Linked DNA regions of Ovis aries. The protein of the gene in region 1 purifies or fractionates together with the protein of each later gene. This does not show direct contact. Links are inferred from orthologs where the notes say so. Each region holds a gene or a part of one and is shown in the gene's direction. Other genes may lie near its edges.

The links.
Region 2: the proteins of PPP1R7 (region 1) and SH2D4A purify together in Homo sapiens (affinity purification with mass spectrometry; 3 studies listed by BioGRID and IntAct, counting the BioPlex papers as one, with this or other methods). This does not show direct contact. The link is inferred for Ovis aries from reciprocal best matches to the Homo sapiens genes PPP1R7 and SH2D4A.
Region 3: the proteins of PPP1R7 (region 1) and PPP1CC purify together in Homo sapiens (affinity purification with mass spectrometry; 8 studies listed by BioGRID and IntAct, counting the BioPlex papers as one, with this or other methods). This does not show direct contact. The link is inferred for Ovis aries from reciprocal best matches to the Homo sapiens genes PPP1R7 and PPP1CC.
Region 4: the proteins of PPP1R7 (region 1) and UBXN2A purify together in Homo sapiens (affinity purification with mass spectrometry; 3 studies listed by BioGRID and IntAct, counting the BioPlex papers as one, with this or other methods). This does not show direct contact. The link is inferred for Ovis aries from reciprocal best matches to the Homo sapiens genes PPP1R7 and UBXN2A.

The regions. Positions count from the first base shown.
Region 1 is NC_056054.1:607,655-611,235, reverse strand, and holds part of PPP1R7 (protein phosphatase 1 regulatory subunit 7), read left to right. Parts: intron 1-389; coding exon 390-455; intron 456-1,018; coding exon 1,019-1,149; intron 1,150-1,508; coding exon 1,509-1,671; intron 1,672-2,791; coding exon 2,792-2,908; intron 2,909-3,581. UniProt on the Homo sapiens protein: Regulatory subunit of protein phosphatase 1.
Region 2 is NC_056079.1:37,631,273-37,634,853, reverse strand, and holds part of SH2D4A (SH2 domain-containing protein 4A), read left to right. Parts: intron 1-2,929; 5' UTR 2,930-3,124; coding exon 3,125-3,305; intron 3,306-3,581. UniProt on the Homo sapiens protein: Inhibits estrogen-induced cell proliferation by competing with PLCG for binding to ESR1, blocking the effect of estrogen on PLCG and repressing estrogen-induced proliferation. May play a role in T-cell development and function.
Region 3 is NC_056070.1:54,596,972-54,600,552, reverse strand, and holds part of PPP1CC (serine/threonine-protein phosphatase PP1-gamma catalytic subunit), read left to right. Parts: intron 1-469; coding exon 470-574; intron 575-1,524; coding exon 1,525-1,748; intron 1,749-1,956; coding exon 1,957-2,091; intron 2,092-3,041; coding exon 3,042-3,102; intron 3,103-3,581. UniProt on the Homo sapiens protein: Protein phosphatase that associates with over 200 regulatory proteins to form highly specific holoenzymes which dephosphorylate hundreds of biological targets.
Region 4 is NC_056056.1:31,676,720-31,680,300, forward strand, and holds part of UBXN2A (UBX domain-containing protein 2A), read left to right. Parts: intron 1-323; coding exon 324-462; intron 463-2,599; coding exon 2,600-2,706; intron 2,707-3,581. UniProt on the Homo sapiens protein: Acts to repress the ubiquitination and subsequent endoplasmic reticulum-associated degradation of CHRNA3 by the STUB1-VCP-UBXN2A complex in cortical neurons.

The DNA.
Region 1 (3,581 bases):
AGTCCTTGTGTTCTTACTGTTTTTAACACCAGGGCTTGGTCTCGCGTGGCGCTGTACACACCGAGAATTGTGTGGCAGAGGCAGCCGTGACCACTGCACATCCGTCCTGGTGCGAGGAGGAGCCGCAGGCGAGGGTGGGGCAGCCCCCAGGGGTGACGAGGGGCGCGCGCAGGCGAGAGCAGGCTTCTCGCACCACTGGTTCATAGGGTCAGTCTCACGTCAGGCCGCTGCCTGTCACGGCACAGCTGTGCCCGCGTCAGCTGGCCCCATGACTCCGGGCGGCACTGCTCCCCGAGCCCCGCCGCCTCCCGGCCTCCTCATGGCTCCAAGCCCGGGAAGCGCGTCTCCAGGTGCCTATCTGCAGCTGAGCTAGGTTTTGTCTGTTTCAGGATGTAGATCTGAATCATTATCGCATTGGAAAAATTGAAGGATTCGAGGTGCTGAAGAAAGTGAAGGTGAGAGGAACTCGTCCCTGCATGGCAGGGGCCCGCGTGGCCCTGCAGAGTGCATCCCCCCACTGGATGTGGGTGAACCGGAGCAGATCAGTTCTGCGCGGTGACCGTGCTCGGGAAGGTGCCACGCTGCAACGGGAGCGTCCCTCGGGCGCCTTTGATCCTGAGCCCTGCAGGGTAACAGGCCGGACGCTCGGCTAGCTGGCTCTCCCCAGGTTCGCGTGGTGGCTCAGATCGGTGGTGCCTCCGTCGGGGCCTGCCTGCAGCCACATGCAGCCCAGACTCGATGTGCTTAGCTCACTGCAGTTCAGTGAGTTCCCTCTGCTGGAAAACAGCACCCCTCCCCTTGCCCAGCACCCCCCTCACACAGCAAGAACGCTCATCAGGGCCTCCCTGCATCCCCGCGGGTATCTGCCCGTCCTCTCCAGGTCAGCACCGTACTAGAAAACAGGAGCAAAACCACTTCCCCACCCAGGCCCCAGGTGTGGAGGCCGAGTCTGGGACAGTGGGCACTTCCTACGGGCCTCCCCGTCCCCTCTGTCAGCTGCCCTTTTTCTGTCCCCCAGACGCTCTGCCTCCGGCAGAATTTGATCAAGTGCATTGAGAACCTAGAGGGGCTGCAGAGCCTCCGAGAGCTGGACCTTTACGACAACCAGATCCGGAGGATTGAGAACCTGGACGCGCTGACAGAGCTGGAGTGAGTTGTGAGGCTGCAAGGGGCCTGGCAGCCGCCCCGAAACCAGCCCTGCAGCCCGAACTCGGGCCGGGGAGCCCCCGCCCACGGTCAGGCCTGTGCCTGGCTCCGCGGGGGCACCCGCTTGCCCACAGTCCCAGCCTGCACGTGAAGCCTTTGACTGGAGATGTCAGGCTGAGCTCCTTAGGGAGAAGACGGTTTCTGTCCTCAGCCTCGTGCTGGGAGCCGGGGCAGCAGGCTTTCGGGGCCCTATGGGCTGCCCGCCCCGCCACATTCCCCGGGCGGGCTGCTGCCTCTAAGTCAGCTACGTCCTGAGCTCGGCGTGACCTGTGCTCGTTAATGAATGCTTTGCTTGTTCCCAGGGTTTTAGATATTTCTTTTAATCTACTGAGAAACATTGAAGGCGTTGATAAGTTGACACGACTGAAGAAGCTCTTCTTGGTCAACAACAAGATCAGCAAAATTGAGAACATAAGCAGCTTGCACCAACTGCAGATGCTGGAGCTGGGGTCCAACCGGATACGGGTGGGTGTGGGCGCGGGGCGCGGCCTGGAGGTGTGCAGGGCGTGCAGCTGTGTCTCGCGAGACCGAGTGCTCACTGGGGGTCGGTGTTCGTGGGAGCGTGGCCCTTTCTTCCACACGCGGCGTTCTCTTGCTCCTCATCCGAGTCACGATGTAACTCTTAGCAGAGGCGTTGCACTCTGCCCGACAGCGGCCCCGGCGCTTGGCTTTTGGACATGCCGCTGGGTGTGGTTTTAGGCGCGCCTCTTGGCGCAGAAGGGGCCCATGCACAGCAGGGGGATGGGCCCCCACTCCGGCCATAGGAGGGTGGGCACAGCCTGGTGCCTAGTGGGCCCATCCGCCCCTGCTGAGTGGCTGTAGGCAGGGTTTCTGAGCCCTTCCTCCACCTGCATGCCAGAAATGCCCCTCCAACTTTTGGAAGCTTCTAGCACACTGGTCAGCTCAGGTTGGCCCTTGTGAGCTAGACAGGACGCAAACCAAGGAGGGTGTTTGCGGCAAAGGGCTTCTTGTGACCGGTGGTGGTGGTGGTGGTGGTGGTGGTGTGGTCGAAAGTAGCAAAGCAGCACGTGTGAAACTCGGGGTGGTCCAGGCATCAGCGTGTTCCGCAGCATCCCTGTGGGGGAGAGGGGCCGCGTCACAGCCGACGCAGGTGACGGCAGGCGGGGCTGCCCTGCCTCTGAGTCCTCGTCCTCCCGGGCCAGCCCCGGCCCAGCCCCGGCCCATCCTGCTGTGAGGACTGAAGAAGAGGCTCACTCTGCCCTTGGAGGCCCCGCTGCAGCCCCTGCCGGAAAAGCTCAGCTAGCCTGTTGTGGGAGAGTGGTGTACCCGGGAGGCGGGGACCTGAGGCCTGCCAGGGGCGCTCACTAGCGCAGCTGCCCATGGGGCCCTGGGGAGCACGGGGCAGAGCGGGGAGGAGCCTGCAGGCGTCCCAGGCCCGGGGCTCCCGCAGCTGCCACCCGCAGGACACCACCAGCGTCTGTTCTCAGGTTGCGCTCTGAAGTGAGGTTGCCTGGGGGATCCCAGAGCGGGCAGCACTTGCCCGACACGCAGGCAGCTCTGTCTGCTCGCCCAAGGGGTCGGGCCCTCCCCTCCCGTGACTGCTGCCTTGCCCTGATCTTCGCAGGTGATTGAGAATGTCGACGCGTTAACCAGCCTGGAGAGCTTGTTTCTGGGGAAGAACAAGATCACTAAGCTTCAGAATCTGGATGCACTCACCAACCTGACCGTCCTCAGCATGCAGGTGCGGACCGCCCAGCCTCCTGCCCCGTGGGCCCCCAGGGCAGGGCTTTGCTCCTCCACTGCCTCCATGCTGGGCAGCGCTTGGCTTCACTGTCAGTGAGGAGTGGAGACATCACACTGCACAGATCTGCAGCACACGTGACCCACGCGGGCCTGAGGTTTCCTTCCGTAACACGCCACATGTCCTCTAATGAACATCCAGGCGGTGTTTAGCCAGGGCAGCTCGTCTCTCCACAGCTCACGCCGTGCTGGGCTCCTGGTGGGAGTGACCCCCCCAGCCGTCCTGTCCCGTCCGTGCCCAGGAGTGTGCCACCTGGGCATGGTTGGGCAGCACCCACGTGGGGTGGGCAGTGCCCGCGTGGCTGCGGCCCGGCTTCTTTCATCAGGAGCAGGCGCACGGTGGTGGGCCCGGGGGCTTTGGTGGCAGGCCGTGGGGACAGGAACCCCAAGACCACCCATGCCTCTCGGAAAGCAGATATCGTGCAGATCTGTGTGAGAAGCGAGCGCTGTGCTCTAACTCGAGTACGATGGATGCCAAAGGAAATGAGAACTAAGTGATTTTAAATATTCTGATTTTGACATTTTTGAGTTAATTAAATTATTTGAGGTAGACCTGTTTCAAGTAGATTTTGAAAAGTGAGTTTCGTGCATCAAAGCCTTTGGCCATGTGCACG
Region 2 (3,581 bases), on another chromosome or scaffold:
AAGCCCAAGAATACTGGAGTGGGTAGCCTGTCCCTTTTTCAGGGGATCTTCCCGACACAAGAATCGAACCAGGGTCTCGTGCATTGCAGGAGGGGTCTTTACCAGTTGAGCTACCAGGGAAGCCTGATTCTGGGCTCCCGGAAAACTCCGTGCCCCTGACTTGGAGCCAGACGGCCGGGCACACCCCCTCCATCGTCTTGTAGGAAATGGGGATGGTAAGGGGCTGAACTCCAAGGTTGGGATGAAGATTCGTTAGTTACTGCCTTCACCGCTCATGGTCGGTCGTGGCTGCGGCTGGGGTCAGCGTCTGAGACCAGGAGTGCGCCAGGTGGGGAGGGGAGAGCGGATTCAGCCCTTTCAGGGTTTTCCTGTTTAGGTGCTGCCTGCCCTGTCCCTGTTGCTGGGAGTCGCCCAATTCCAGACTGGGGGATAGAGCGGAAGCTTCCAACTTCCCTGGGCAGCTCCTCTCCCCTGTGTTTTATTTCTGTGAAAGTCAACCCCTGGTCAAGAAGTGTCCCGGCGTAAGGACCTTTACCGGAATGTCATCTATAGCTTTTATTATGTTGAGGTGTGTTCCTTCGGAATGTCAAGGACTCATTCACTTTGGCTTCTTAGCACTTGGTCTCCAGCACTGGAGTCCAGTGAGTGGAGGACTTACCTTCTTCCTGCTGTTCTGACGCCTACAGACAAGAGCTCAGCCTCTGGAAACCCCCGTCAAGTGTAGATTTAGTTGTGCCCCTCTCCTGGAGACCGCAGAGTCAGGACCGCATCGCAGGACATCAGTGGTGTGGCTGTTAGAGCCTTTGAGGGTCGCCTCAAAGCAAAATACAAAGCTAGCCAGGCAGCCTGGGGCAGGCGTGCCTGACTGAGTTAGAGTCGGACGGTGCCTTTAATTCTTTTAAAAATTTCTCTAAACACTGTGTTCCATTTGAGCCCCGGGTAACTGAATGCTACAGATGGCAGGACGCAGATGGCGAGGGTCGTGGTAGCCTCAGTAAAGGTCCCTGCTACACAGGGCATGTTAGTGAACGGAACTACATGTTGTTGGTACTCAGGGCACCCTGGGTACCCTGGCTGTTGGGCTGTTGCTTGTGCTTCTCTGAAAAAGCTGGTGTAAATGGAGAAACAGCTGCGCAAGGAGGTGGAGCAGGAACGAAGCTGCAGGAGCCTCCCGGGCGTGAGAGGAGTGTGGCAGCCTGCCTGGAGGTGACCAGGAGAAGGGCCGGGGGTGACTGGCCATGGGCCTGGGAGGGCCGCCGTGTGGCTGAGCGACTGGTCTGAAGCTTAAGAGCCTTTGAAGTTAGTTTGGAGAAAGAAGATATTTGAGAGGGCGTGGCCAGATGGTAGGATTGTTAGTCTGTTTCTTAGAACATAGGTGATCCTGCAGAGTTGAAATAAATAAGCTTTTTGTGGATTTCTTATTATATTGGAACAAAATAAGCATTCTGTTTTTCCCCCCAGAATGGAAATGTGTACATCATTTTCTCCTAATGACAAAAATGTGAAGGTTTGCTATATTTTTTGAAAATAGACCAAATGGAAACGTGTGAAGTAGAACACGTCTGCTGAGGAGTAGGTGCCCCTGTGAAGTCACCTGTGTGCTCAGGCCCAAGGCTCCTCCATCTGAGAAACTGTCTTACAGAGCGAGGACCCTTTGTGATGAGCCTGGTCACCCCTTCAGTTCAGTTCAGTTCAGTTGCTCAGTCGTGTTTGACCTTTGCGACCCCATGGACCGCAGCACGCCAGGCCTCCCTGTCCATCACCAGCTCCCAGAGTTTACCCAAACTCATGTCTGTCCAGTCGGTGATGCCATCCAACCATCTCATCCTCTGTCATCCCCTTCTCCTCCTGCCTTCAATCTTTCCCAGCATCAGGGTCTTTTTCAAGAAGTCAGTTATTCATATCAGATGGCCAAAGTATTGGAGTTTCAGCTTCAGCATCAGTTCTTCCAGTGAACACCCAGGACTGATCTCCTTTAGGATGGACTTGTTGGATCTCCTTGCAGTCCAAGGGACTCTCAAGAGTCTTCTCCGACACCGCAGTTCAAAAGCGTCAATTCTTTGGTGCTCAGCTTTTTTCACAGCCCAACTCTCAAATCCATACATGACCACTGGAAAAACCATAGCCTTGACTAGACGGACCTTTGTTGGCAAAGTAATGTCTCTGCTCTTTAATATGCTGTCTAGCTTGGGCATAGCTTTTCTTCTAAGGAGCAAGTGTCTCTTAATTTCATGGCTCCCCAGTTTATCTGGTCTGTAAATTTAGACCCTGTGAAATTAGGGTATCTGGAAGAGGCACGCCTAAACCCTGGTGCCCTTCCAAAATGCATGTGAGTGCCCTGTCCTGCTCTGCACGGTTTCTGTGGTTCTGGTGAGTTGTCTGAACACCGAACTGTCCATCTGTGAAGATGACAGCGCATAATTGTTTGTATTAACAGCCACTTGTAAGGGAAAATGGGAAAATTGCATTATGGTCTAATTTTTATTTCTTCTTTATTTCTTCCTTAAGCCTGGCTTGGGTTTGGGTGGGTAATTCTCTGAAATCTCAAAAACAGTGTTTGCTTTTGAAGTACGTTGTTTGGAGAGAGGCTTTTAATTTCATCCTTGCCTTTGTCTCTTTAACTGTTTTTAGCTGTGGACGTGGTGGTTTGTTGAGCTCGGAAGTAATCGCATGTTTGCTTAGTTGGGAGACAGCCAAGCCTCTGTTAATTTTTTGTTTCCCTGAGAGTGACCGGTAAAAAGTTAGGGTTTATTTTTTTGTTTTTTTGTTAAAGTATCTTTGGAAATTACAGGATACAGGTTACACAAAACTCTTAACAAAGCTTGCCTGAAATAAAGGCGGATCTGTGTTTCTGCCAAGCTTGCTCCTAAGCCCGTCCTGGCCTTTGTACCTTCTAACACAGTTGCATCTTGGCGGTTGCTCTTTGCAGGTTCATGAGTGGCGTTTTGGACAGGGGGCCCGGTGTGGGAACCCAGAGCCAGTTCGCTGAACTGCCGCCGTCCCAGCCCCACGAGCGTCTGGGAAGGTCTGTGGGTGCCCCCCCGTGCCAGCCCAGGGGAGGCAGCCCTGGAAGCCGTTCTCAAGAACTTTTGCCTCAGGTGCAAAAGACTCCAGCCCCGCAAAGATGCTGAAACAGATCCTGTCGGAGATGTACATAGATCCTGATCTGCTGGCAGAGCTAAACGAGGAACAGAAACAGATCCTGTTCTTCAAGATGAGGGAGGAGCAGGTCCGCCGCTGGAAAGAAAGAGAAGCAGCGATGGAAAAACAGGAGTCCCTGCCAGTGAAACCCAGGCCGAAGACAGGTAAGCGGAGCTCACTCCTCCCGGAGCCTCCGCGGCGGGCGGCCTCCCTGCTTGTTTGCATGGCTCACACTGGTCAGCAGCTAGCCGCGTCTGAGGTCTGGTTTGGCAGGCAGACCCTCAGTGTTACTGAGCTTTTCATGGTGCAGTTGATTAGCCTGAAGCACGCGCGTGCGTGCGCGCGCACACACACACACACACACACACACACACAAGCAGCAATACTCTGGAGTGGTGAGGCTGAGAGCAGATGTCTTTCTTGAAACCGGACTGACCTTA
Region 3 (3,581 bases), on another chromosome or scaffold:
GGTGGCCTTAGCGGGGAAATGTACAGAGGAAAGAAAGCAGCAGCCCGGGACTAAGTTAATAAGATGCTCAGGCAACAGGAGGAAGAATCTTAATTTTTGATGAAGAAGCCGACAGAGTGAGTTGTGAGTTGTTTCTTGGTCGCCTTTGGAAATGGAACCCACCTATGGTTTGAGAGTGGACAGAACAGACTATATTGCAGACAGAGTTGGTGCTATCAAATAATTGTTGAGGCTTAATGATAATCCTTAATCAGTATATCTGGAATTCTGTTTTCAGACTATTTTAAAATAGTGCATATGAAACTAAGTTGTTGCTTATAAATCATACATCTCTTAAATATTATATATATCTAATTCTCTCTTTTTTAATAAAAGCATAGTTTTTGAATATTGCCTTGGAGGACTTATCTTGAGGGTATGTATCTGCAGAACACCAGTCTCTCTTTTAACCATCCCAAAATTTCCACAGGTAAAAGAAGATATAACATTAAACTATGGAAAACTTTCACAGACTGCTTTAACTGTTTACCGATAGCAGCCATCGTGGATGAGAAAATATTCTGCTGTCATGGAGGTATGTGGGCTGATTTTAATTCCATGTAGATTTGGATTCTTCTAAAGGGTATACACTTTGACATTGATGAATTAACATTCGGATGACTTCCTCTGTGAGGTGACTCTCCTGTACTGCTGTGTTAAACCAGGAGTCCACTCTGGCACATCCAGGATCATCCGGATACAAGTCCAAAGTATGCAGTTGATTTGTTACAAAGACTTCTAGGCTCTGTAACAGTTAGTCTTGAAACTAGAGTAGAAAGTATTTTCGAATATAAAATAAACAATGTGCTATACCATAGACTCTGTAGGATACTGAAAATGTGAATATACTTTCCCTTGGACTGTTTTTGGTCTTTTCCTTTCAGAAATTTCTCTGACTTAGATGTTAAAAGTTATTTTGCTTGGTGATTGTACTTTATATGATGTAATTAAAATAGTAATGGCAAAGAGGATATCTTTTCATCTATGTCAGAAGTTAGACAACCATCAAAAAGCCAACTCGACTATATTTTAATAAAACCACTATCCTTGCCCTCCTTAGGTACTTATATACTGGTTTTGGTAGAGTTGGACATGTGATTTTTAAAGTCAGATTGAGAGCCAGTTATATCTGAGCTGGTTTGACTTTACAGTCCTTGGCCAGTGCACGTTTCCTAGAAAGCTTCATCACCTGAGTGTCTGCATCTTCTACGCCCGGTCACTACAGTGGTCATTAGGGTGCTCTGAATGTTGAAGTAACTTTCCTTGTCCTGTTTGGGCCCACACTGCCCCACAAATTAGTGCATGTAACAAGTTCCAGTGTCCCCCACCCCCCGTCCCTTTTTAACAAAAGCTAATAGGTAAGAAAAGATAACCAAAGAGTTCATGATTGAGTCTCTCTGAAGAGAAAGGGAAATATTAAAGTGCTGACTTCCCTTTTAAAATTGTGTTTTCTTCCATTTTGGTTTTTTCCCCCTCATTTAATAGGTTTATCACCAGATCTTCAATCTATGGAGCAGATTCGGCGAATTATGCGACCAACCGATGTACCAGATCAAGGTCTTCTTTGTGATCTTTTGTGGTCTGACCCCGATAAAGATGTCTTAGGCTGGGGTGAAAATGACAGAGGAGTGTCCTTCACATTTGGTGCAGAAGTGGTTGCAAAATTTCTCCATAAGCATGATTTGGATCTTATATGTAGAGCCCATCAGGTATTGATTTTGAATTTTACATGTACACTTAAGAGCATGTGTGTGAGCACAGATTCTCCTTGTTGATTTTGGTGGGTAGGTATTGCTTATTTATACAAAATGTCTCTGGAAATGACCTACAGGATATCAGGCTCAATGGGAAACTGAAGAGTGATTTTACTCACCTAAAGTTTGCACCCGTTCACATTGAAAACATTTTCTCTCCAAGGTGGTTGAAGATGGATATGAATTTTTTGCAAAGAGGCAGTTGGTCACTCTGTTTTCTGCGCCCAATTATTGTGGAGAGTTTGACAATGCAGGTGCCATGATGAGTGTGGACGAAACACTAATGTGTTCTTTTCAGGTAGAGGATGTTTTCAGCATTGTTTCCTTTTATTATGTCTGCATTTTATTGATTTTTTAAAAGTGCTAATTTCTGCCTATATTCATTTATGTGGAATAGACTGAAAAATTATTATTTTCCCTTAATTGGTGTTTGTCCTAGTTCAGTAATGAGTGAATTCCTTTTAAAAGAATGAAATGATCATAGAACTTTTGCCCCAAGTATTGAATTTAACTTTTTTCATATTATTTGAATACATTAAAATCATGAGACATTAAGTCTAAAGCTACAGTGTTAGTACCGTGTTCCGCTGAAATTAAACCACATGAAAGTAGCCCTCGCTGCCGTGCGCCAGGTGTGCCACGTGATGACTCAGTTCTCCCTCCATGTCTCTGTTTCTAAAAAACCTCTAGTGATTGACCGTGACATCATTTGGCCGTCACTTGGCACAAAAGAATCATTTACACATAAAGTCTGCAGTTTTTTTCTCATTCAATTACTATGATTAAACTTATACGACTTCAGGCTTACCCAATCATAAACAAAAACACAGCCACTGAAGTCAAGTCATCAGTTAACTGAATTAAAACAAGTGTTTTTGACTTTTTTTATTTTTAAATTATCAGGTCTTGCAACCCCCAGAGATTATGACATGATCCCCTAGGGGTTTGAGAAACACTATTCTAAAGAACTATATCCCCTGGGTCAGAAGGGATACCTAAAGATGTGACTTCAAAAAACTGTCATTTTATCCAGAGGCGAAACAGTTTGTCCAGATCATATATCATAGCGGTTTATAAGAGTATTTATTACCAAAATGTTTGTCAGCTTGGTTTGTGTTAATACGCCAGTGGAGCTTTCAGAGTTGTTGGGTCAATTTTAAACAAACTTTCTGAACAAAAGATTTGAGTGAAATGTAAGACTTGAGGTTAAGTGTATTTCCTAAAATACACTGTCTTGAATCTTTGCAGATTTTAAAGCCTGCGGAGAAAAAGAAGCCGAATGCCACAAGACCCGTCACACCTCCAAGGGGTATGATCACAAAGCAAGCAAAGAAATAGATGTCATTTTGATACTGCCTAGTTGGGACTTGTAACATATAGTACATAACCTTCATTTTTAAAACTGTAATGTGTATTGGTCAGCTTGCTCAAATAGTGTTTGTGGGGCTCCCCTTTCCATTTTTGACTTAATGAATGGTATTTGCTGGTTATAACAGCAAATGAAAGATTCTCCACTCCCAAGGAAAAATGTTTTGTTTAGTTCCCTGTTCCTTTTACAGACAACATTAATGGTGTTAAAGCTGTACACTCAGGACAGTGTCCCCTGTCTAAGGGGTGAGTGTACAACTGATCTTTTTTTAATTCAGTACAGCCCATAAATAATGTAAATGCTCATTTTCTTTAGGATATAAAGAGAGCCCTAGGGTGCTCAATCTGTACATGTTATTGTCATAAAATGCATACTGTTGGATACAAACCACTGTGAACTTTTTTGTTTCAAAGGGATTG
Region 4 (3,581 bases), on another chromosome or scaffold:
TGGGATGTAGGGGGAATGTCCACACTACTGCTCACAGACACTGCTGAACCTCTTACAATGTATGGGCCAGCCAGCTCAGCAAGGAATTATCTTTCCCCAAGTGTCAATGGACTGAAGTTGAGAGAGCTGTGCTCTGGACCAAAAGGGTTAATGGCTTTTTCCCGAGGGCACATATCTACTATCTTAATTTAAAATAGGATCTCTGACTGCAGACATGGAGGTAGTGTCTCAGTGTTAGATCCCTTAACTAGAGCAATTTATGTAAACTTTTAGAGAATTAGTGGTCAGTAATGCTTCTTCTTTTTGTGTCTGTCTGTGTGTAGGGTTTGTGAAACAGGATCTGACCACCAACCTCTTAGTGATAGTCAACAAACAAATTGTGAATATTTTGTTGACAGCCTTTTTGAGGAAGCTCAGAAGGTTGGTGCCAAATGTTTGTCTCCCACTGAACAAAAGAAACAGGTAAGTGTCCATAAATCTTTTCTTTCCTGATGTTTCTCAAAATATGGACTTTTAGAGGTCAAAACTGTTATCGTACTAATCAGTTCAGTTCAGTCATGTCCGGCTCTTTGCGACCCCATGAATCGCAGCACACCAGGCCTCCCTGTCCATCAGCAACTCCTGGAGTTCACTTACACTCACTTCCATCGAGTCGGTGATGCCATCCAGCCATCTCATCCTCTGTCGTCCCCTTCTCCTCCTGCCCCCAATCCCTCCCAACATCAGAGTCTTTTCCACTGAGTCAACCCTTTGCATGAGGTGGCCAAAGTATTGGAGTTTCAGTGTTAGCATCAGTCCTTCCAATGAACACCGAGGACTGAGCTCCTTTAGGATGGACTGGTTGGACCTCCTTGCAGTCCAAGGGACTCTCAAGAGTCTTCTCCAACACCACAGTTCAAAAGTATCAATTCTTCTGTGCTCAGCTTTCTTACTAATAGAAAGATACTATTTACTTTTTTCACTGTATTGAGTTTGCACTGATATCGCAAAAGCATTGGTCAACAAAACTGGCACCTCAGGAGGAACTGAGGCAATGGCACCACACAGCACCACACCGTACCAGTAATTACTGTACTCTTCTTTGCACTTGAGGGGGTGAAAAACACTTGTTTCAATTAAGAATGTCCTTGATAGAACAGTGAAACTTACAGATTCCATTAAATCCCAACACTTCAATACCTATCTTACTAACTTTCTGTATAATAAAATATGAAGTATATACATAAAATGAGGCTTCCCTGGTGGCTCAGACAGTAAAAAATCTGTCTGCCGTGCAGGAGACCCAGGTTCACTCCCTGGAGAAGGAAATGGCAGCCCGCTCTAGTATTCTTGCCTGGAGAATTCCATGGACAAAGGAGACTGGCAGGCTACAGTCCATGGGTTGCAAAGAGTTGGACACGACTGAGAGACTAACACACACACACAGACACATATGTGAAACTCTTCTGCAATATACAGAAGTATCTTAAGGAAAAGTACAGTTGCTTGAGATGCAAGCTGAACAGTTTGCTTTTTCATGGTGTACTGTTTATACATGAAAGGATGCTTTACAGACAACTGATTTTTCAGTCTTGGCTATCTGCAGACACTTTCTCAAAATGTATAAAATGAGTCTGACACTTCAGGGAAGTGAGATGATCCAGAAGATGTTGAGAGATGAAATATTGCTAACAGTAACACTGACAGTTCTTTTTTTAAGCAAATTATTGTGTGTTTTTTTTTAATACTTTTATTGATTTATTTATTTTTGCCTGTGCTGGGTCTTCAGTGCCGTGCAGACCTTTCTCTGGTTGTGGTGAGCAAAGGGTACTCTCCAGGTGCAGCGCACAGGCTTCTCATTGCAGTGGCTTCTCTTGTGAAGCACTCACTCTAGGGCAAGCAGGCTTCAGTAGTTGGGGCTCCCCAGTCCTAGAGCACGGCTCAGTGGTTGTGGTGCACAGCCTTAGTTATTCCGCAGCATGTGGGATCTCCCCGAATCAGGGAGCCAATCCATCTCTCTTGCATTGGCTGTCAGATTCTTTATCACTGAGCCACCCAGGAAGTCCAAACTGATAGATTACATTTGAAGGAATAGCTGTTAATTACTCTTAGTTGTTTTTCCCCCATTTTTATTTTTAATGTTCAAAGTCTAATGTTCAGGTCATTTCAGATTTCTCTAACTGTTGAGAAGTCTCTTCTGACCAGACAGCATTAGTGTCCTCTGAGATAGAGCACAGGATATTCTTCCAAATGAGTTCTCCTAAAGAAAATGATTAATGACTTACTTTAAAACATTATTCATTATGGACTAGATTATACATGAACATTATAATTTTGATATTTTATATTTGAAGCTAGCTCTTATGAATGGTATATTTAAAATTTTTAACTGTGTAATGGATGTTAATTATACTCATTCTGTAATCATTTTGCAGTATATACATACATCAAATCATTATGTTATGACTAATACAATGATGTATGTCAGTTATATCTCAATTTTAAAGAAAAGATTGATACATAAAATATACACTGATAGAAGAAATTTTCAAAGGATTTTTAATCTACTAGTACATTTTATTGATTAACATTATACATTTTGTTTCTTACTGCTTTGCAGGTAGATGTAAGTATAAAATTATGGAAAAATGGATTCACTGTCAATGATGATTTCAGAAGTTATTCTGATGGTGCAAGTCAACAGTTTCTGAACTCCATCAAAAAAGGGTAAGCAATCTTTGTTAGCAGAAGGATATTTTAGATATGTTTCATTTGGAAGATTCCTTTTTAATGTTGTTCACACATCCTTACACATTGAAAAATACTTTTTCTCTTTTAAATTCACACTTTTCATAAGATGGGTTTTCTTAAGAGAACCACAGCTGTAATCTTGAAGGGTCAGGAATGTGAATTCTGATCAACCAAAATCTGACTTAAATTAATTCACTTTGCCAAGTGTTACTTAATACCACATCACATCCTACTTGTTATTTAATAATTACGTTTAAAGATCTTTATAGTTGTTAAATTGTGATTTCCATTGCCCTGTAGTGTTTTATATTATATATTTATAAAAACTTGAAAATCACCCATAATTTCATTACCCAGAAGTATTACTGCTATTAACATTTCTGTTGAATTTCATTTTGGCACTTTCTGTTCATAGATTTATACATAATTGTGCATATATTTTAAAAAGTGTTTTGACTTTATCTTGAAATACTTGAATATATCTGTATATTATTTTGTTACAATGATGAGCCATAATGTTTATATATATATATATATATATATATATATATATACACCTAGTTGTTGGTGATTTGATTATTTCTTAAGTTGCCCACTATAAAAAATATGTGACTATCCTTGTGTTTAAATTTTTAAGAAAAATAACAGCTTTATTTTTAATTAAAGCTTTATTAAAATAAAATTAGCCTACCATAAAATTTACTCCTTTAAAGTATACAATTCATAATTTTTTAGTATATTCACAGTTATGCAACTTCAGCACTATTAATTCCAAAATATTTCCTTTTTCATCACCCTAAAAAGAACCCCCATGCTAATATCACTCTCCACTCTCCATTTCCCCCTCCTCA